Linked DNA regions of Arabidopsis thaliana. The protein of the gene in region 1 interacts with the protein of each later gene in a pairwise test. Each region holds a gene or a part of one and is shown in the gene's direction. Other genes may lie near its edges.

Evidence for each region.
Region 2: the proteins of AGL6 (region 1) and AGL92 interact in a two-hybrid assay, tested with the Arabidopsis thaliana proteins (one large-scale study listed by BioGRID).
Region 3: the proteins of AGL6 (region 1) and AGL39 interact in a two-hybrid assay, tested with the Arabidopsis thaliana proteins (one large-scale study listed by BioGRID).
Region 4: the proteins of AGL6 (region 1) and AGL78 interact in a two-hybrid assay, tested with the Arabidopsis thaliana proteins (one large-scale study listed by BioGRID).

Annotation. Positions count from the first base shown.
Region 1 is NC_003071.7:18,801,508-18,807,604, forward strand, and holds AGL6 (AGAMOUS-like 6), read left to right. Parts: upstream 1-2,682; 5' UTR 2,683-2,945; coding exon 2,946-3,127; intron 3,128-3,627; coding exon 3,628-3,706; intron 3,707-3,836; coding exon 3,837-3,898; intron 3,899-4,018; coding exon 4,019-4,118; intron 4,119-4,191; coding exon 4,192-4,233; intron 4,234-4,310; coding exon 4,311-4,352; intron 4,353-4,445; coding exon 4,446-4,600; intron 4,601-4,687; coding exon 4,688-4,784; 3' UTR 4,785-5,079; downstream 5,080-6,097. UniProt on the Arabidopsis thaliana protein: Probable transcription factor. Forms a heterodimer via the K-box domain with AG, that could be involved in genes regulation during floral meristem development.
Region 2 is NC_003070.9:11,320,991-11,326,604, reverse strand, and holds AGL92 (AGAMOUS-like 92), read left to right. Parts: upstream 1-2,428; coding exon 2,429-3,686; intron 3,687-3,776; coding exon 3,777-3,913; downstream 3,914-5,614. Other genes in the region: ROPGEF14 (RHO guanyl-nucleotide exchange factor 14), read left to right, coding at 1-131. UniProt on the Arabidopsis thaliana protein: Putative transcription factor.
Region 3 is NC_003076.8:9,543,392-9,548,517, forward strand, and holds AGL39 (AGAMOUS-like 39), read left to right. Parts: upstream 1-3,155; 5' UTR 3,156-3,241; coding exon 3,242-4,162; downstream 4,163-5,126. Other genes in the region: AT5G27120 (NOP56-like pre RNA processing ribonucleoprotein), read left to right, coding at 1-293.
Region 4 is NC_003076.8:26,108,020-26,113,090, forward strand, and holds AGL78 (AGAMOUS-like 78), read left to right. Parts: upstream 1-2,306; coding exon 2,307-3,332; 3' UTR 3,333-3,384; downstream 3,385-5,071. Other genes in the region: AT5G65320 (basic helix-loop-helix (bHLH) DNA-binding superfamily protein), read right to left, coding at 223-621.

The DNA of each region.
Region 1 (6,097 bases):
TTTTTTCTACTTTTTCTTTTCTTGGTTTATAACCTTTGAATATCTATATTTGAAACACACATTGAAGATCACTAACTCGAAATTCAAAAATAAAAAGAGAGACAAATATAGCAATCCATAATCAATGCATAGAGACTTCAAGTGACCTACTAGGATCCCACTAAAAAATAATATGCTGTTTTTTGCCTATTCCTTTTGCATCATTCTTGTTATAGTAAAATGGTAAAAGAAATTATGGAAAATAAGAAAATGGGGTCATTGAATGTCAAGAGGGTAACATTTTCAGACGATAAGGCGCAATGACCCCACACCTCACATGAAGCTGCAGTGCCATTTCCAAAAGAGTGTGTGGATATGAATTTGAACAAAGAAACATTGGTGATGAAATTAAAAAAGAAAAGGAAAGATTACTACAAAGTGAAAAGTATGAAATTATGAAGACTACCCGATCTTCTTTGCCTCCCTTTCCGTATTTGGCATGCCCCTAACCACTACCACAACCTCTTCCCTTCGGAACTTTGTAAATAAACATTCACTGTTTTTTTTTTTGCTTTTTAAATAGCTGTTAATTGTACAAATTCATTTACATGGCTTACTGTTTTTCAAAAGGAGATACTAAATAGTATATAGTACTATAATTTTGTCCACCATGTTCTATGAAACTCGTCCAAACATAAAAAGGTTTTTATATCATCAAACGTACGACTTTCCTTTGTTATTTTCTTGGATTGGACACAACGAGATTGGTTTGGTCACTGTCCGATCTAGTTATTGATATATATATATATATATATATATATATATATATATATATATATTTTTTTAATATAATGTAGATGTAGCCCACTAACTTTTGATAAGCTTTCATTTTTCTATACTTTCATTTTTCTATAATGTAAAAAGATAGATGAAAATGAAACTACTAGATTACAACTTTTTAACAAAAAATAAAAAACTACTAGATTACAGCTCTTGATTGGTTGATAACTTGATATCATATATCGTGTTTGTAGTTGAAGATGTAAAGATTTATCATCTTGTATTTGAATTTTGCACAATATATAATGTGATGATTCTATGTTTGTTTGTAAACTTATGTGCAAATGGGCGATAACTAAACGTTCGTAAAATAGTTACATGTACTAATTAATCGAAGCACATAAATATTATATATATATATATGTATATATATGAAACGATTCATTGATTTTAAGTATTTAATTTATTTTTTAAGATTTTAGTTGTCTTAACCTCGTACGAAGAAGAAGGATATATACTATTTAACTCGTGGAGATGATGAGGTTCGGATATTTTTCCTTAAGACCACAAGACACTGACACGCCGACTGATCGATAAAAAAAGTTAAGGCCTACAATACAAAAGAGTAGCAGATTCCCTTACACGTGTTTCATTTATGATCTGTTAATTAACTCCATTGAGCTTCAATATCTCATTAGCCGAAAATTAACTTGACGTTTTCCATTGAACTGTCGAAAAAATTTGTAGAAAAAGTGAAATGTCCCCTATTTAACTTCCAAGTTTAAAACCTAAAATTAATTAGTTACCGTTTTGATGAATAACGTTGAAAGAATCGTCAACATATCAAATGATGCAGATACAACAAGGGACAAAAACATCAAAAAATTGATTAAAAATAATCATTCAGATATTAGCAATTAAACTGTAAGTAAATGATTGCATATATATATATGAATGAATACATATATATGTATCAAACTGTAAGTAAATAATACATACATATATATATATATATATAGGAAAATATCTCATTTTTCAATCATTTTCAGAGGTAAACATTTTTAAAGACAATTTTACCTAACCCAACATCTTACTATATTTAACCAGCTCTGCGAGAGCTTCAAAACAATGATGAATTTTCTGCCCCTTTTCATTGACCAAATAAAAGTTCACAAATTTGTAAAACCAATCAGCATTAATTTCGCACGTAGTTTACTTCGTCCGATTTTAGATCAAGTAGACATTTTAACCAAACATATTGAATCACGGTTCAATCAAGATACATGGTTGCGAGTATAATATATCAATCCTTCACCGCATTAGAAAACCAAATTTTCTATTTAATTTAGCGTGTTCTTTTAATGAACGCAGCGTCAGCGACAACAAAGAAGAAAAACAGATCTGCGGCGAGAAAAAATACATTGATTAGAGAAGAACTGCCGCAAAAGATGTACGATGATGAAGATTGACGTGACGCTGCTTAATTTCAGCGATTCATTTGATGCAATTGCAATTCATCGGCTATCATCGGCGACTCATCCGAAATTGTTATTTTCAAGCTTTAATGTCGTTTTACTTACCTACTACTTCTCATGACACGTCGTTTCAGTCCGCTATTGCCGCTGGCGCAGCATCAAATAAAAGAACACGCTAGGATAGCTTGAAAAGGGTACAATAACTAGTTATAGAAGAACATGAGCCATAACATTTGGAAACAAAATGAGTTAGTTTGAATTTGAAACATCGCGCTCTATGTAAAAAAAGCAAAAAAGAAAAGAAAAGAGTCCTAATAATTAAAAAGAGAAAATAAAAGGAATTTTCAATGGTCCGACTGTTACAAGTAGATTTCCATTTTTAGGAATCTAGCTATAACGATGAAGACAGAGTTATCATTTTGTTCCATCAAATATATGACGATATTTATATTTAATTTCTTCAACAACAAATATCTCATTTGTTGGTGCCACTTTCACATACTTAGGACGACTAATAATTAATTAAAAAGGATTTATGTAATAACGCACCATATTAACCTGTAACAAGAAGAATTGAAAGTAATACAAGTTTATATATATAGCAACACATTTATCGTGTACGATACTTTATTCCTTTTATCTATTCTTGAAAAAAAGTTACCAATTCTTGAGAAGAAGAAGAAATCAGAATCAAGAGAAGGAGAGAGAAAGATGGGAAGAGGGAGAGTGGAGATGAAGAGGATAGAGAACAAGATTAATAGACAAGTGACCTTCTCAAAAAGAAGAAACGGTTTGCTGAAGAAAGCTTATGAGCTTTCTGTTCTTTGCGATGCCGAAGTTGCTCTCATCATCTTCTCAAGCCGTGGCAAGCTCTACGAGTTTGGTAGTGTTGGGTATATATATCTTTGCTCCTTTGAACCAACTTTTGTGCTATATATATTAAGATTCATCCAATAAAGCTATGTTTTTTATATGAAAATTGATTAATAAATGGGTTCATTTGCTACTTGTTACATCGTACGATTCAAGAGTCGGATCATGTTTTGATCTTGTGGTTATTCTTAATGGTTGTATCGTTTATCCTGTGGTAATTAGGGTTCATCGTTATATCGTGTCTCCCTCTTGGATCCTTTATCATAAGCTAATAGGTCCTTCCGTACGTTATAATTTGTTGATTTCCCATTCATGAATTCCTTTGATTCTTTAATCTTACAGATGACAGGTTTCAAATGGGTTTAATTCTAGCTTTAAAAAAAAAAAAAACAAACAAACTAGGGTTTTCCCTTTTAGATCAGTGTGTAAGATATATAACTTGAGTTCTTGTCGTAAGAAGAATCTTTATTTGTTGAATCGAGCTAATGATCTCCCATTTTTGTTTTAATTGAATTTGTAGAATTGAAAGCACAATCGAACGGTATAATCGTTGTTACAACTGCTCTCTAAGCAATAATAAGCCTGAAGAGACTACACAGGCAAGTGTGTGTACGTACTTTGAATATATTTACAATTATTGTTTCTGATGATAATGATTCTAGCTAACTCTATTTTCTCAAATTCTCATGTTACTATATATATGCATTTCATATAATCTATATGGTGCAGAGTTGGTGTCAGGAGGTGACAAAGCTTAAATCCAAATACGAATCTCTTGTTCGTACTAACAGGTCTAGTAATTAAGAGTTTTCTATAACCCCTTGAAATTAAATCGTTATTGTCATCTTCCATTATATATGTATAGTTACAAATCTATTGTTATGGGTGTTGATAATTGCTAATTATAAAAGGAATTTGCTTGGAGAAGATCTTGGAGAAATGGGTGTGAAGGAACTGCAAGCGCTCGAGAGGCAGCTCGAAGCCGCTCTTACCGCGACTCGACAGCGCAAGGTCACATGATCTAGACTGGTCTTGTTTCATTAAAAATATATTCATAACTAAAACATTCAACTAAAATATGCAGACACAAGTTATGATGGAAGAAATGGAAGACCTTAGGAAAAAGGCAAGTTATATAAAAATGTTTCATACCAAACTGCAAAACATATATGCATATCAATCAATCTATGTTTGAAATGGCAGGAGAGGCAACTAGGAGACATAAACAAACAACTCAAGATTAAGGTTTTTATTTCTAGACATCGCAAAATTATATTATAACTTCTCATATAATTAATTATGACATTTGGATCTTAACTAAACATAAATTTTCAATAGTTTGAAACGGAAGGCCATGCTTTCAAAACCTTTCAAGACTTATGGGCAAACTCGGCGGCATCGGTGGCCGGGGATCCAAACAATTCTGAATTTCCGGTAGAGCCTTCTCATCCTAATGTATTGGATTGCAACACCGAACCCTTTTTACAAATAGGGTAAGAATATACCATTTTTCCCGGCCCTTACAAATAAATGGATAGAAATAAGATATGATTATAAGACTTGTTTGGTATTTGGATTAGGTTTCAACAACATTACTACGTGCAAGGTGAAGGGTCTTCGGTATCAAAGAGTAACGTGGCAGGTGAGACTAATTTCGTCCAAGGTTGGGTTCTTTGACTCTCTGTTGATTAGACCACGATGCCACGGTCAGGCCAATTTCAGCTCTCTACAGTTGTTCTTTTTTCAAATTAGATTTCTGGGTTTTTTTTTCCTATAAGAAAAACTTTTGCACTAGATGTTTGTCATTTAATTTCCAGCTCGTGTGAATCTATATTCGCATGTATGTGCTTTGAAGAATTTCTCCTCTTACTCCTACTTGATCTAAAACATTATTTTTGTTTTGGTTTTACCAACATTTTCCAAATGAAATAAACTTTAATAATTGTTCTAAAATCAATTAAATGAATAGATTTATTTGGCATGAATACTATTAAATCTCAGACATATATTTATGAATGCTGAATTGTGAATAGTAGGAACAAATAATAAATCGTGCGACGTCGAATCAATTGGGTGACGAATAATCAAAGGAGGATTCAGCTCAACTACGCAAGTAGGAGTAATGAACTTCCGAAACAATTGGGTGAGTAAATGAAATCAACCTGTAACTAAAAAAATGAACGAATAATAAAATGCCACGTAGTTGACCTTGGAAAAAGCGCAATGATATGAAGCCAGGTAGGACCCACATTGCTGTTTCTTGATTTGACTTTTGGAAGAGAAGAGCTCCTCTTTCTTTAGCAAACTTTACTGTTGTTGATATATGTCTTTTCCATAAAGTCTTCATATTTATTGAGGTTTTTTTTTTTTTTTTACATACTAGAATTTAAGTTTTTAATACTCTCTTATATTTATGGGCTGTTATCGCAAAGTAGGCCCTTTTATAAGTGGGCCATTACAAAATAAATTCATGGGCCCATATAAATGTTAACGGCACATGTCATATCACAATCATGTATCTCTATTATCTAAAGATTCTAAACGATTTGAAATATTGGATTATGCGTATAATGTTTTTTTTTTCTTTGATGGGCTAAAAGCCTCTACAACATTTGGATTTATGCCCTAAATCTCCTCTCCCGGTGATCTTTTGAACTTGCTTGGGGGGGACGCAACTTCTTCCAAGACAGTCACACATGCTACTAGACCGATCTTTGTATTGTAGAGTTGCCACCGTTGTCGTGTATCAGCTCTTCATCTGAAATGATGCAGTTATTGATTTTTGGCCAATGGATAATGTTTAATGTGCTCTCATAATTTTCTTTATATTTTTTTACCAGTTTGGGAAGTTCTAGACCTCTAGTCTCTCGACTTGAGAAACCAGTAAGTTATATAGTACAGATATTCCTGATTTTATGATTTTGAGGGAAGAAAGCTAAATTGATACATGAAAACAAAACATAATCAAAATTACATTCTAGAGAGGCAAG
Region 2 (5,614 bases), on another chromosome or scaffold:
CCGATGGGACAGAGACTGGTTTAGATTTTTTGTTTGCAGATGCTAAGGCAAGTAATTCAGTGAATACAACTCCAAGTAGAAGCAGTAGACTGTGGTGTTTGAGTAAAGTGCCTTCTGATACTTCTCCTTGATTTAGAGGGTCTTCCTAGTTCGATGCGTGCCACCTGAAGCTTCTCCTTTACTTTGAAGGTTTTAAATTATGAAGCCTGAGATGTTGTAAATGTATTAACATATTGCAGTTAAAGTACGAATTCATACAATTTTGTTCATAACTTCACGGTGAAAAGCAAATTTTTAATCCGGGAAAAAAAATTGATACGATTGATTATGATTAAATTTATTAGTCTCTTCCAGAAAATACTTTACAAAATAAGGTATATTCAAAACAAAAATGTCCAAAACCATAATCTATTTATAATATACTAGACTAGAATCATTTTAATTACTACTTTCTTGAAATCTAATTTGAATCTCAATTAGGTTACTATCCCGACTTCCATCTTTGAATGAAGCATTAGCTGTCATCTCGACAAATGATCAACTAACAGGTATTTTCACCAAGCCACTATCTTTTGCACACTTCCATTAAGTCACTAGCAAGATTGGAGTATAAGAAGTCTTCATTTAGAAGGGATCTATCTTGGTTGGATATGTACATATTATGGGCTTAAGGATAATTTGAAATTAGCACAAAGCCTTAATGAGTTTCCGTTTGTACATACTACCTAATAAGTATAACAAAATGGCAAGCTTCACTTCGTCTATCATCCCGACACTAATGAGGTTTTTTGGGTTGGATTTAAGTTCAACTGTGCCATCCGATACTAACACAAAATATTGTTAAAGGCCAATTATGCTTACTAACTCAAAGAAAATCGAACAGACCATAATTGTTTTCAATATAGCAAGTATAGAGATCAAATGGATCTTGATTACCAAAAAACTGTTCTTGTAAAAAATTTCATATACATATAACTCAATAAGGACCTATAACTTTTCAAAAGATTATTTTACCATATTTAAAAAATCTTTAACTAAACTTTTGAACATGACCTATATATATAGTTCAAACATCCTAACTAGACATATAAATAAAAATGAAAATTATTGGAGGGTCTTAATAAGATACTCCCCCATTATAATCATAACTAAAAAAAAATTTAAGATAGAAAGAAGAGAAAATTTCTCAAATAAGAACTTTGGGTATACTAACTAGAACTTTACAATTGTCTCTTTTTAATTGTTCATTTTTATTTTTAAATTAAAATTATTAAAAATATTAAGACTTTAAAAGTTGGGATACTTTTTTGGGATATGTGAAAACCATTGGAAGTGCTCTAAACCTCTTGTCAAATTTCTAGTTTCAAATATTTACAGCTCATAATTAGCTGGCAGTACAATGAATATTTTAACCAAATTAAGAAAAATATATGCTCCAAAAGGTATAATATATGCATGAATTCATAATTTATCTCTAAAATAACTGATTTTCTTTTATATCCAATCATGATTTTACACGTGTACATTAATTGATACGTTTTAATGTCATAAATAGTCATATTAGTGTATAAGTCAAAAGATGGAAAAAATCCATATATATTATTATATTAATGTATAAAGACAGTTTTACCCTTATTTCCTTTTAATTAAAATCAACTTATTGACTAAACAAAATTAGATGGACCTTCTGGCCATGGCAGATTTTTTAAAAATATTTTATTAAAAATTTAATTCATATAACTAAATCTGTGATTTTAATATTTTATAAGGAAAAATTTCTTTATTACTTTATTATTATTTTTTATATTTTATTATTGTAAAGATAAATTTTTATACATATAAAAGAGCATTTTTTATATATTAAAACATGATAGAAATTTTAATGATATTTATTATTTTATTATATTGGTTTACAAACTTTTTTCTATGTAGGCTTCCTTTAATGTCTACATATTTCAAAATTTTCGCTCGTTCTAAATATTTCGTAAGACACGTTAATTCTTTCCCGAAATAATTTTACTATAGATAAACAAAGTTCCTAAGCTTTTATATATTCATGATTTTACATGGAAATTAAGCTGTAAAACTCTATTCGAAAAGAAAAGAAAAACACTTAAAATATTAGAAATTTTCACAGTTTATCAAAGCTTAATATTACTCTTAAAAGAAAAGTGAGTAATATACGAAGATAAACTATATTTAGTAAAGAGAAAAGAGAATCCAATCTTAGTCATAGCTTTAATTAGTGGCCTAATCAATTAATAAGACAGTAGCCAAAAGATTTAATGCTGTAACTACAAATTAATGAGTCCAGAAACGTGATAAGCCACACCCTGAGTAAAAAATCACCCTTTTCGTTGCTATATAAACAGTCTTGGGCCAAGAAACTAAACAAACACAAACACCAAAGAAAAGAAAAATAAAGATAATGAGGACGAAGACTAAGTTAGTACTCATACCTGATAGACACTTTCGGAGAGCCACATTCAGGAAGAGGAATGCAGGGATAAGGAAGAAACTCCACGAGCTGACAACTCTCTGTGACATCAAAGCATGTGCGGTAATCTACAGTCCGTTCGAGAATCCAACGGTGTGGCCGTCAACCGAAGGTGTTCAAGAGGTGATTTCGGAGTTCATGGAGAAGCCGGCGACAGAACGGTCCAAGACGATGATGAGTCATGAGACTTTCTTGCGGGACCAAATCACCAAAGAACAAAACAAACTAGAGAGTCTACGTCGTGAAAACCGAGAAACTCAGCTTAAGCATTTTATGTTTGATTGCGTTGGAGGCAAGATGAGTGAGCAACAGTATGGTGCAAGGGACCTTCAAGATTTAAGTCTTTTTACTGATCAATATCTTAATCAGCTTAATGCCAGGAAGAAGTTCCTTACAGAATATGGTGAGTCTTCTTCTTCTGTTCCTCCTCTGTTTGATGTTGCGGGTGCCAATCCTCCTGTTGTTGCAGATCAAGCTGCGGTAACTGTTCCTCCTTTGTTTGCTGTTGCGGGTGCCAATCTTCCTGTTGTTGCTGATCAAGCTGCGGTAACTGTTCCTCCTCTGTTTGCTGTTGCGGGTGCCAATCTTCCTGTTGTTGCAGATCAAGCTGCGGTTAATGTTCCTACTGGATTTCATAACATGAATGTGAACCAGAATCAGTATGAGCCGGTTCAGCCCTATGTCCCTACTGGTTTTAGTGATCATATTCAATATCAGAATATGAACTTCAATCAAAACCAACAAGAGCCGGTTCATTACCAGGCTCTTGCTGTTGCGGGTGCCGGTCTTCCTATGACTCAGAATCAGTATGAGCCCGTTCACTACCAGAGTCTTGCTGTCGCGGGTGGCGGTCTTCCTATGAGTCAGTTGCAGTATGAGCCGGTTCAGCCTTATATCCCTACTGTTTTTAGTGATAATGTTCAATATCAGCATATGAATTTGTATCAAAATCAACAAGAGCCGGTTCACTACCAAGCTCTTGGTGTTGCAGGTGCCGGTCTTCCTATGAATCAGAATCAGTATGAGCCGGTTCAGCCCTATGTCCCTACTGGTTTTAGTGATCATTTTCAGTTTGAGAATATGAATTTGAATCAAAATCAACAGGAGCCGGTTCAATACCAAGCTCCTGTTGATTTTAATCATCAGATTCAACAAGGAAACTATGATATGAATTTGAACCAGAATATGAGTTTGGATCCAAATCAGTATCCGTTTCAAAATGATCCATTCATGAATATGTTGACAGAATATCCTTATGAATAAGCGGGTTATGTTGGAGAGCATGCACACATCCCTTTCATGGACGGAAACTACTACAACTACCACCAGCCACCAACCGTTGGTCTTACTTCCACCGGTCACATGCCTTCCACCACCACCACCACCACCAACAACAACAACAACAACAATGTGTGATGTGTTTCAGTAGTGTGCATTTTGTGTTTTGTTTGTTTTAAAAGACCAGTATTTAATTATGCTTTTCCTTTTCAATTAGTTGTTGTAAGAGTTGAAGGTTTTACCTTTAAGTCAGTTCTATTTCAATGAAGTCATTTCTGTTTGGTCACAAATTATTTTTTACGAGCTTTTTGTTCTTAAAATGCATAACTAAATAGATCTGCCAAAATCAGATAGGATTTTGTTTCCAAAAAACATCAATACTTTTCAAGCCTTCATTATGGTTAAATACTTATATGATTAAATATTTTGAAGAGAGTTCAGGACGGAAGTTGTATATATAGGAGGAGAAGTACCATTGAGTATATATACGAGGAGAACCATTGTTGAAATTGGTCGCAGTGAATCACTCTTGAACCGAAAAGAAGCGCTTAGAAATCAGATCAAATCCAAACACTCTAATCTTCCTCACTCGTTTCTTAATGCCACAAAGATCCAATATGGCAATGTAAACATAAACAGAACTAATTACATCTTTCTTAGTTTATGTTCTGAAACATGTCATACTTTACAATACAATTATTTGTCGATATTAAATCCTTCTTCTTTGTTTTCAGGACATTGGTCATGCATGGGCTTCTTGAAGCATATTCCCGAACACTTGCGAATCTTGCTTTCTGGATTCTTTCAAGAATGGGAGAAATCTTGAAAGAGTTATAACTCCCTTGCACCACCGAGTAGCATCCTTAGCTCATGTGACCCTAAAGAGCACCCCAAAGGCCTTTGCTTTGGTCCCGTGTAAGGCCTCTCCGATGGGACAGAGACTGGTTTTCTATTTTTTGTTTGCAGTTGCTAAGGCAGGTAATTCAGTGAATACAACTCCAAGTAGAAGCAGTAGACTGTGGTGTTTAAGTAAAGTGCCTTCTGATACTTCTCCTTGATTTAGAGGGTCTTCCTAGTTCGATGCGTGCCACCTGAAGCTTCTCCTTTAAAAACCGTTTTAAAGACTGTATTAAGATTGAATATGGTTAAATTGATTTGGCTCTTCTGAAAATTTTAAATAAAAAGCTGAGATATTAAGAAAATAAGGTATATTTTAGGATATGCATATATTATGGGCCTAAGGTAATTTGAAATTAACACAAGCCTTAATGTATCTCTATCTGTACCTATCACCTACTAAGTATTCATTAAGATTTTTTTTTAGAAAAATGGCTTCCTAGCGTTCTATTTCAACTATAGGCTTCACTTCGTGTATCATCCCAACACTGACGAGGTTTTTTGGGTTGGATTCAAGTGTGTACTTCAACTAAGAACATATTTTTGGTGACCAGTTATGCTTACTACAACGTTCAGATAAGATCGACTATACCTTGAATTGTTTTAGTATGTGTAAATTAAATACATAGATTAAACGGATCGTGATTACCAAAAAAAGTTCTTATGTATATATATGGACCTTATTTAAGATATCTATAGTTAAACTTTTGAACATGACCTATAACTATAAGTAGCTTAAGTCGCCCCTAACTAAACATATAAATAAACATGAAAATTAGTGTTTTATGGCAGATGAAAGTTATTTATTATCTGAGCCAAAAATATACGGTGAGCTTGAAATAAAATTTAGCATTTAAAGAGAATGGAAATTAAACTACTACTGGATTGAATTATTTACCATTCTCTCATGTAATATCTTCTACTCTATAGTATTTTTATAAC
Region 3 (5,126 bases), on another chromosome or scaffold:
CTGCTGCAGACTCTCTTCTTCAAACTCCCACAGTGGATTCAGAGAACGGTGTGAAAGAGAAGAAAGACAAAAAGAAGAAGAAGAAGGCTGATGATGAGGAAGAAGCCAAAACTGAGGAGCCCTCAAAGAAGAAATCGAATAAGAAGAAGACAGAAGCAGAACCTGAAACCGCCGAAGAGCCTGCAAAGAAGGAGAAGAAGAAGAAGAGAAAACACGAGGAAGAGGAAACTGAAATGCCTGCTAAGAAGAAGGAAAAGAGTGAGAAGAAGAAGAAGAAGAAAACTGAGGTCTGAAGAGACCTTTAATATTTTTGCGTGGTCTAGTTTACTTTGTTATCAGAAACAAAGAAAATCTTTTGTGGCGTTAGGTGTTAAGTAAGGTTTTTGTTTTGTTTGAAACTTAAAAAAAAGAACTACTCTTCGTTTTGTAAGGTTATAATATGTTTGGTTTAGTCCTTATCCCAGAAACTTGCATTTTGCCAAACGAGTCAAGACCTTACCGTTAAATCCTTCTAATCTTAGTATAACGTAATTACTCATAGTTGATTAGTTCATAAATTTGTAAAGATCAGTCCGAAGAGTCGACATTTTTCATCAAGTGTATCATTGACATTTTAAAAAACCTTGTACAAAATGAATATTTGTGAGTCTAAAAAGTACCTTAATAGTCAATTGGAAATGGATTGGGTTGAGCATAAGGCAAATCATACCAGACCTTAGAAATTTCAAAAGATAAATAAAATCTAGAGTCTACCTACTTTGTGTGTGTATATATTTTTATTGTGCTATAAATTTTGTGATGAATATGAATCAAAATTCTTTCTGAATATTTCGTGATAATGGTTCCGTCAATATCAAAATTTACTACTGAACATATATGTTTTAAAATATTTAACTGGATTTTAATTCATAAAGTTTTTTTTATTTTTAATTAAATTTAGTTGCCGTGGAAAAAGTTTAATCTATAGTGTTTTATGTAATCATTGTAGGTAATGTTCAAAAAATCTGCCTAGACACCTATCGAACTGGATTTTAATTTATAAAGTCTTTTTATTTGTAAGTAAACTAGTAGGCAGCCCGTGCCTTGCACGCAAAACAACAATACCAATAATATATTTCGTGTCTTTGAAATTTGCAACAATTACACAAATGACGAATATCACAACCTCACAAAATACAATGTGTATCACACATTGCTCTATAACTCTCAATAAAAGTCCTATTCAACTTTACTCAAATTGTAAAATAATATATGTGTTAAAATTAAGAAAACTTTTATTGGAAACAGCAAATAATCTTACATAAATACACTAACTTATCTCATAGATATATAGAAAAAAATATATATATATATACAGAGCCGTTTTTTCTTCTCAAAAAACTTAACAATAATAATGATGGAGAAATGAATTACCTTCTAACCAAAACGCTTTTCTAAACTTGAACATATAAGATGGTTTCACATTTAAATTATTTTGCACACTACACCGTGGAAGAAGATGTCATGTCATGCCACCCATCTCTCAATTTGGTTATCTTCTTCTTCTTCTTCTTCTTTTTCTGAATTGAAAGCCCCAAAACATTTGCATCCATTTTGTTTCTATATGATTCTCGCAAACTCATGTGGTCATTTTGTAGCAGCGGGTGTGCATGGAAAATGTAAGAAGATAAGACCAAGTAAAACGCAACAAAACGGCCAAAGGTTTATTGATATTCATACCAGCGATTGGGTGGACCAAACTCAGTGAGTCGTGAGGGGTTAACAGCGTCCATCACATTAGGTATCACAAAAGTCTCAACTTTCATTATTTACGTCATTCTTTCGTTTCTCTGGTAGACGTATTTAGATGAAAGAATGGAGGATCTAAGATTATGAGAAAGGAAAGAAGAAGAAGAATTTAAACCTGTTTTTATCTTCTTGAGAATGGCTTATACGGTTGCTCTTGAGATCGTAAATTAACTGGCAGAGGGTTTGAAAGATGGGAGAGAAAGTAAAGAATCTTAATAACGTGGAAGAAGTAGTTGCTGAAAAAGTGGTTAAAAAAATTTAAATTTATCTTTTGTCAAAAAAGAATATTCTATTGAATAGTAAAAGGAAGTGAATTGGTTTACGATTGTGGAAGTGCAAAATTTTAGACTTAAAGCATACGTGTCAAAATGAGAAGCTTACAGTTTTTTTAAAAGTGACTGTTGATTTAGTATTATTAGATTTAGTTGCCGCGAAAAAGTTTAATATATAGTGTTTTATGTACTTATTATAGGTAATGTTCAAAAAAATAGCCTAGACATCTATCGAACGTCTAGCTACCGTACAACGATTTTTTGAACATTGATTATAGGTAACTAAATCTACATATACATTTTTGCCGCCATTTTGTGAAATAAATCTTAGAGTTGGAACTTATTTATAATGGCTGCCACTAGCTTTTAATTATTGTTTTTTTTGCAATAAATTAATTAACAAGCAAAAAAAATTCCAAATATATTCTAATCCCATATATCACGCAGATTTCTCCAAAATTGAACTAAATTTCGGTAACTATTTAAAACAAAAAATGTTTGACAAACCAAAATACAATTGCAATCCCTTAAAATGAGCAAAATGCACCTAAATACATTTCTTATCAATTCACTAAATCTAATTTCTCCAAAATTTGAATTAGATTTCGACAAATATTTTTAAAAAAATTTGTTTGACAAACTAAAATACAATTGCAATCCCGTAAAATATTTATTTTAATTATATATTTAAATTAACGGTGTACCACTGGGTTTTTTTACGGGACGAGTTTGGCGGAACGGGTTTGAAAGAACGTTACTTAATAACAATTGTAAACTATAAAATATTTTTATTTTATAGATAGATATAATTTGCAAACTTTTATATATACTGATTTAAAAAAATAAATTATTTCTACGGTATAACGCGGGTTAAAATCTAATATTTAGATAATTTTGAATATCCAATATATATGTTTAATTGTTTATAGTAGTAATAATTTTTTTCTGCTATTGTTGTAATAAAAGAAATCTCTAAAACGTTTTAGTAGGAAAGAAAAAAAACGTTAAATGCATAGAAATAAAGTTGGGCAGTAAAAGGAAAACAACAAGACCTAATTAAGTTTGACATATATAACTCAGGCGGCTATTACATCTATAAATATGGGTAATATATCTATCTTGCTTCTACTCTCTCTTTTCACTTTTTCTCTGTGTCTATTTGTCTCTCCGTAAGAAACATTATGCCTTCATCTGATTCCACGATGATGAAGAAAGGAACAAAGCGCAAAATCGAAATAAAGAAACGAGAAACCAAAGAGCAACGAGCCGTGACTTGCTCTAAACGCCGTCAAACTGTTTTTTCCAAAGCCGCCGATCTCTGTCTTATCTCCGGTGCTAACATCGCCGTCTTCGTAACCTCTCCCTCCGATAGTTCCGATGTTGTCTATTCCTTCTCCGGTTACTCCTCTGCCTACGAAATCGCTGATTGTTACCTAAATCGCAAGCCTCCACCCAAGATTGTTAACCCGGCCGGATCCAAACTAGGATTTTGGTGGGAAGACCCTGATCTCTACCATTCGTGTGATGATCTCTCTGAGTTAAGCATTATCGAGGATCGTTTACAGAGAATGAAGAAGCATGTGATGGCTTGCCTTGAGAAGGAAGAAAAATCTCAACTTGTTTCTAGTTTCGACCAAAACCCTAATAGTACTTGTTCTCTCGACGTCGAGGATTGTGATGGATCTTCTTATTCGCAAATTGCTTCTACTTTTACTCCAAACTCTGTCAACGAGTATTGCAGCGATCAAACCTTTTCTTCTTTCCATGGCGATCAAAACCCTAACCTCTCGTCTCCGTCTTTTGATCAGGACTGTTACTCCTCTCTCTATCAGATCTGTGGAGAATCATCTTCACAAGTTGCTTCTTTTGATCAAAACCCTAGCTCCGAGATCCAAGGATTTGAAACAGAGGAAGAGATTAACCAAATCAATCTACTACTACAAGAAACACAAACAGAGGCCAATGTCAATTTGGATGATGAGATCTGCTTTTGGAATGATCTATCCAACGATGATGTGTTTGGTCTAAACAGCTACTTCGGTCTCGATAACACCAATGCAATGATCAACTTCGGAGATTCCGACTTTAGACGTCATGTCTGATATGATGTGGTTGTAATCTTCAGAACTTGTTCTGATTTTGTCTCATTGTAAACAGAGATTCTTGATCCAATTTAAGTTTTTGTAAACCTTTTTTCCTTTATTGTTTGATACTCTGATGTGAACCCTTTCGAAGTTGAAAGTAAATTGTTTGAATCAGTTTTGCAATTCCACTTACTAGTTTGTTGATGTTAAATTCAAGTTAGTGATTTGAATTTGGATTCTCAGAAAAGAAGAACACAGTTTTTGGAGCTTTTGCTTGTAATTTTACATGAGTTTTAGCCTTTAGCTGAACACTTTTTGATTCCTTAATGGTCATCTTGTTAGGTGATGTGTTTGAACTTTGAACAGAGTACTTGAGATTAATTTAAGATTATGTATGTAACGTAGATTAGATGAACATATTTATACCAACATTTTATTAAAAAAGTAACTATAATCATTTTTCGAATTAGTAATTAATTTTATAGTTTCTTTAAGGTAATCATATATTTTACAATTTGTATATTAAAATTAGCAGATCAAACTCTGTTTTTGATAGAGAATAAATAAACTTTGTTTTTGATAATCTTTTCCCTTAGAAGTAAGGTCGGTTATTTTGACATCTTTAAAAATTAATTGTATAATTCTTTTTAGAAATATACCATTTTAAGAAAATAAGAATAGTTTTTTTTTTAAAGGTTTTTTTTTAGTTTTTTGTGAAAATTATATTTTCACATGTTTTTTTTCCGTAACTTTTTAATAGAAAATCATATATTTATTTTCTTATATATATAGATCGTCGATTAAGAATCTCGAACCCTTATAGCAAATTCGTTGCTCCTCTTTTTTTCTTTCTCTAACGCAGCAGCTTTGCTTAAATCCTCTTAGGTATTTATTGAATCTTTCTCCGTTGTCAGTGGAACGTGGCTTCCAAGTATTAGTTTTTGACTAAGTATAGTTCTGACTTTGAGATGTTGAGTTGATT
Region 4 (5,071 bases), on another chromosome or scaffold:
ATTATAGGAAAAACCCAAAAATTTATCAATTCGCAATTTTATTTAGTAATTGATTCAAAAACAAATATACTAAATTACTATTATTTAATTAACGGCTTACTTTTAATAAGGAACCTTAACACTCTTTGTCTAAACTAAATTTTAACCGAACATATCAAATTATCAACATTGCTTAGCCTGCTTATATCCTATAAGCTAAATTAAAGATAGAAAGAAACTCACAGGTTGAGAATAAGAGAGAGGCATCATAGACTTGAGGATAGACAGAAAATGATTCATCTGTTTTCTCCGGTTACGCTCGACGGCAATGTGATTCATCCTTTGATTCTCTTTATCTACAATCGTTTTTTCACTTCTCCTTCTCCTCTTCCGCGACAGAAAGTCACCGCAACCATATCTTTCTCGTAGAGGAGATAACTTTTCAGTTAAGTGAGATTTTTGCTCTGTTATGGAGCAGGAGAGTGTCGCTGATGAATAAGAAGAGGACGAAATGGAATTTTGCTGTGACGCCACGTCTTCAGAGTTCGAAACGACGATGTTTTGAAAGTAATCCAACATTTCGTAACTTAAGGATGTTTCCACGAGTGAAAAGCCATGAGGGTAATCTTGTTGGAACATCATATATAGCCTCTCTCTCTCTCAACCAAACGAGCACAAAAAGAAATGAAGGAGTTAATGCATAAAAGTTAATGGCTACGTTATCTTTTACACAAAGTAATGTTTATGCGTGTATTTATAATGGGGTCTTGTTGGTTTGTTTTAATTTATTAATCTTTGGAGGACTTTAATAATCAAATTTTCACGACGTTTATGTAAGAAATGAAGCCCTAGCTCTGAAGAGATCAACCATTTGATTAATTTTAACCCGATTTTACGCAATAAATTAAGAAACGAATGCAATAAATTCTTAATACTAAGATCAACAATTAGTTTATAACTTTATATTTTACCCGATTTTACGCTTTATATATCGTCATGAAATCTCTCATGTTTGACTAAGGGGTATTTTTTATACCATGGACTTTTTGCTCAAAACCTCAGTTACAAATAGAAATAAAAACTCTTACAATTGATGGAAAACAATCTATAGGGAGTTTATTTATTTATTGACTGCAATCAAATATACTATCAAATAAAGAAAATTGGATTATGAAATGAATCTAAAGGGATACTTCAGCAACAGATCCCACATAACATAATCCAATAAGAACGTTCAGAGATATACACAACAAATAAGAATGTTAACTTTCATGATCGCAAAACAAATCTTAATACTTTACCATTCAAGTAATATATTTAATGAGGCATAAACAATTTATATTTCTTTGTGATTGCCAATCACAATGTCGTTTTATATGATTGGTACATTTCATCTAACAAAGAAACGAGTCTATTTGTGAGTTGAAAATTCGTGATTTGTGGTTCACTATTGGATCGTCGTTATCAATCTGACATTAATTGTACCCTATTATATATATTGTTGTGTCTATAATAAGGCAAGCTGGTTACTACATTTGTCGACTTCCACATTCCCAATTATTGTGTATTTTCTTGACTAGCTAATACATATATAACAAGAATTAATCTTCCACAATATGAATTGTGATGCGTTTACAGTGGTAATTTTGCAATAAACAGAGTGAGTATATATATACCCTTCGAACATTTAGTTTTAATTATTTGAAGAGTGTTTTTATGTTAGTTATTTTTCACAACATTCTGATTGGAGAAACAATTTATAGATTTTTGAAAACCCTTAATTAACAACTATAACGTAAAAAAAAATTTGAAAAAAAAAGAAAAAAAAAAAGATAGAAGAAACCTAGAAATAAAATGAGTTGAAATCTTTCTTCAATTTTTTGAAAACCCTTAATTAACAATTAAGAGTTTTTTTCTTAGAGACAGATTTTCCTTTTTCCTCCAAGTTTTTGTTGCACAATTAATAATTACACAATCAAATCTATAGTATTTTTTTAATTAGATCTTAATTTTGTACAGCCTAAAATAAAGTACCATCGAGAAACTAATTAAAAGTTTCCTTTTTTTTTGGTCTCTACCATCGAGACATTAATTAAGGAAATCTACATTAGATATTGGAAATCGAATCGAATCGTAGGAGCGTAGATCTTCACGCCTCGCGATTAACAACGACGCGTCGCGTTTGCTTGTTCCCGTAGGCACCAAGGCATCTATATAAACATATTGAGTTCACAATGTTTCACCCTCAATTCGACAATACTTCTTCTTCGTGTGTTCTCTCTCTCGGAAAAAACCCTAGTTTCTTGCCGAATCAAGGCAAAGTCACGATGAAGCAAGCTTCTTCTTCTTCTTCGTCACGTAATTCAACAAGTTTAACAAATAGACTTAAAACCATCTTCAAGAAAGCTGAAGAGCTTTCGATTCTCTGTGCTATTGAGGTTTGCGTCATCTATTACGGACCAGACGGTGAACTGAGAACATGGCCTAAGGAGAGAGAGACAGTGAAAGACATGGCTTTGAGGTATAAAGAGGCCAGAAAACGCAAGAAGAGCCGCAATCTTCATGAGTTCCTCGAGAAGGAGAAGGACAAGGACAAGGGGAAGACGAATTTGAAGAAGAATTGGTATCCAAACTTTGATCATTACTCTCCTCAACAACTCTCTCAATTGATTCAGTCCTTAGAACGGACTCTTTCTACTCTGCAAGAAAGGCTTCGTATTGTTGAGGCGCAGAAACTACAGAACACAAACTTGGTGCATCAGAGTTTAACACCATCGTATCTGAACCAGACCCAACACTTGAATCCTAGCAAGTTCTCGCTGTTTATGTACAACCATGGAGATGCTACTCTCTCACAACTCCCACTGTCTGCTCCACACTCCAATCAACTCATCAATTACCAGAATCACTTGATGCAGCATGGTTTTGGTCAGAACATGTGTTCGGACAACATCACCAACAACAACTTTGAACATCCTGGCGTGTCAAACACACAAGACTACTCACCGTTACTTTCGGTACAAGCATCTGCAGTGAATAACTACGGGTTGAATAATCACTTGATGCAGCAACAGGATCAGCTTCATGGTTTTGATCAGAACATGTGTATGGTGAGTGAAATCATCAACAACAACAACGGTCTACAACATCCTAATCTCTCAAACACGGTTCCACATGAATTCTCTTCTGATTTCAACCAGAACCCTTATGGTAATGCGGTCGGTAACATTAGCTTCTCTCAAGACATGTTTTCAAGCTATGATGCGAGCAGTCTGCTACAGACATCTTCTCTGCCACCTCTCCACAACATTCCTAGCAGTTATTGTTTTCCTGGCAACTCAAGACTTCTCTGATAACAAAATCTGTCCAAAAGAATTTGTTTTTTTGAAGCTTCATTAAGAGTCAGTCAATAGTTAAGTAGCAAGCGGATCGGAGAGAGATTGAAGCTGTTTCTGCTTCCGATTTCTTCTGTTACTGTTTTTTTTAATATTTTATAGTGTCATTATAACTGCAAAACAAATCCATTTGTTTTTTTTTTTTGTTAAGAAAACAAATCCATTTGTGGAGATTTTGTTTTTACTTTTAAGTTGATACTTTTTTCAGTTAGTATTGACATATATATATGAACTTCCATAAAAAATCTTTCACAAAAACTTGCATGAAACAAATTATAATCTTAAAACCTTAATTCTTGCAACTTAGTATCCTTCTTGTCTGAATCAACTAATATATACAAGGAGATGGAGAGTGGATCTGAGTTCGTGAAGCCTCTAGACTTTTTGCAGAAGAAGAATCTCTGTGTAGTTTCTGAGTAATGGTATGAGGAAGAAGATAAAGATTGAGCTGATTGAATATCTGCAATTAAACTAGCCCTTGTGTTTTATCAAGAAAGTCGATATCACATTGCTCCAGCACTCCCCACTATTATCCAATTCTACAACAGCAACAACAATCCCAGCGAGTACCCAACAAACGATACGCAAAACCCACGAACCTTATCGCCGGAAGACCTCCGATTCTGTCGAGAGAGGAACACCACCGCGTAAAATAACCGGGAATTTGGTACGATTTTGTTTTTTATTTGATTTGGTTCGCCACAAGGTTAATTTGGTCTCAAAACTCAATCCTTTCACCAGGTTTTTATGGCCCGGCCCAATATTAATTTTTAAAGTCCATTTATTTGCAATAAGGCCTATTAGTAATACCCAATAAGCCGAAGATGCAGACGAAGACGATCATTATTGAGAGACATGTATGACGCGTTAAATTTACTTCAGTTTGTGTTTTTGAGATTGTGGTTGGTTAATGGTTACTGCTCAAGAACAAGAAACATAACATGGTGTGGTGTCAGATTTATCATTTTATGTTTCCTTCTTGCTACTAAGATTATATTACTTTTTGTTAAAGATTATAAGGATTATTACGTTATCACCCTGATTGAATAATCCAAGTTTTAGTTGACAAAACAAAAGGAAGAAGAATAATTCCAAGTTTTATGCAATATAGCTTAAATTTTTTGTTCCTCTCAAAATTCGATTATCAAGTTACAAAAAAATGTAATATTTTGCGGATCATCCAAAATAATGAGTAGAATTTTGTGATGTATTGATCTATTTCTTTGGCCAAAAACAAAAGAACATTGGAAAGAGACAGAGAAAGTGGCAAGCTGGTTGTCTTAGCTGTTCTTGATTCCCTCTAAGCAAAAGTATAAAGCTCACGAATGAATGAATAATGTTATAATACCAATAACTTATCTGGTTCTGTGTTATGTAAATTATTATTTTAATCGATAGTTGTTAGTGTTCTTGTAGTGATGGATTCGCCGCGTGGACTCTTATTATTCTCCCATGATGAGTCTCGACTCTCGTTGACCTCATCCCCACGTACGAGTATTTTTTTTATATCTACTATGGAGTATTAATTATTGTTGAAAATTTCGACAAATTAAAACTAGTTACAATAAACAATAGCCGGAACTTCTTCATTGTCACGAAATTTACAAGTTAAGTAGGCAATCCCATTTTTTTTTTCGTTGATCAACGTCAACCATAATTGTGTTTTCGCATTCAACAAAAAAAAAATTGTGTTTTGA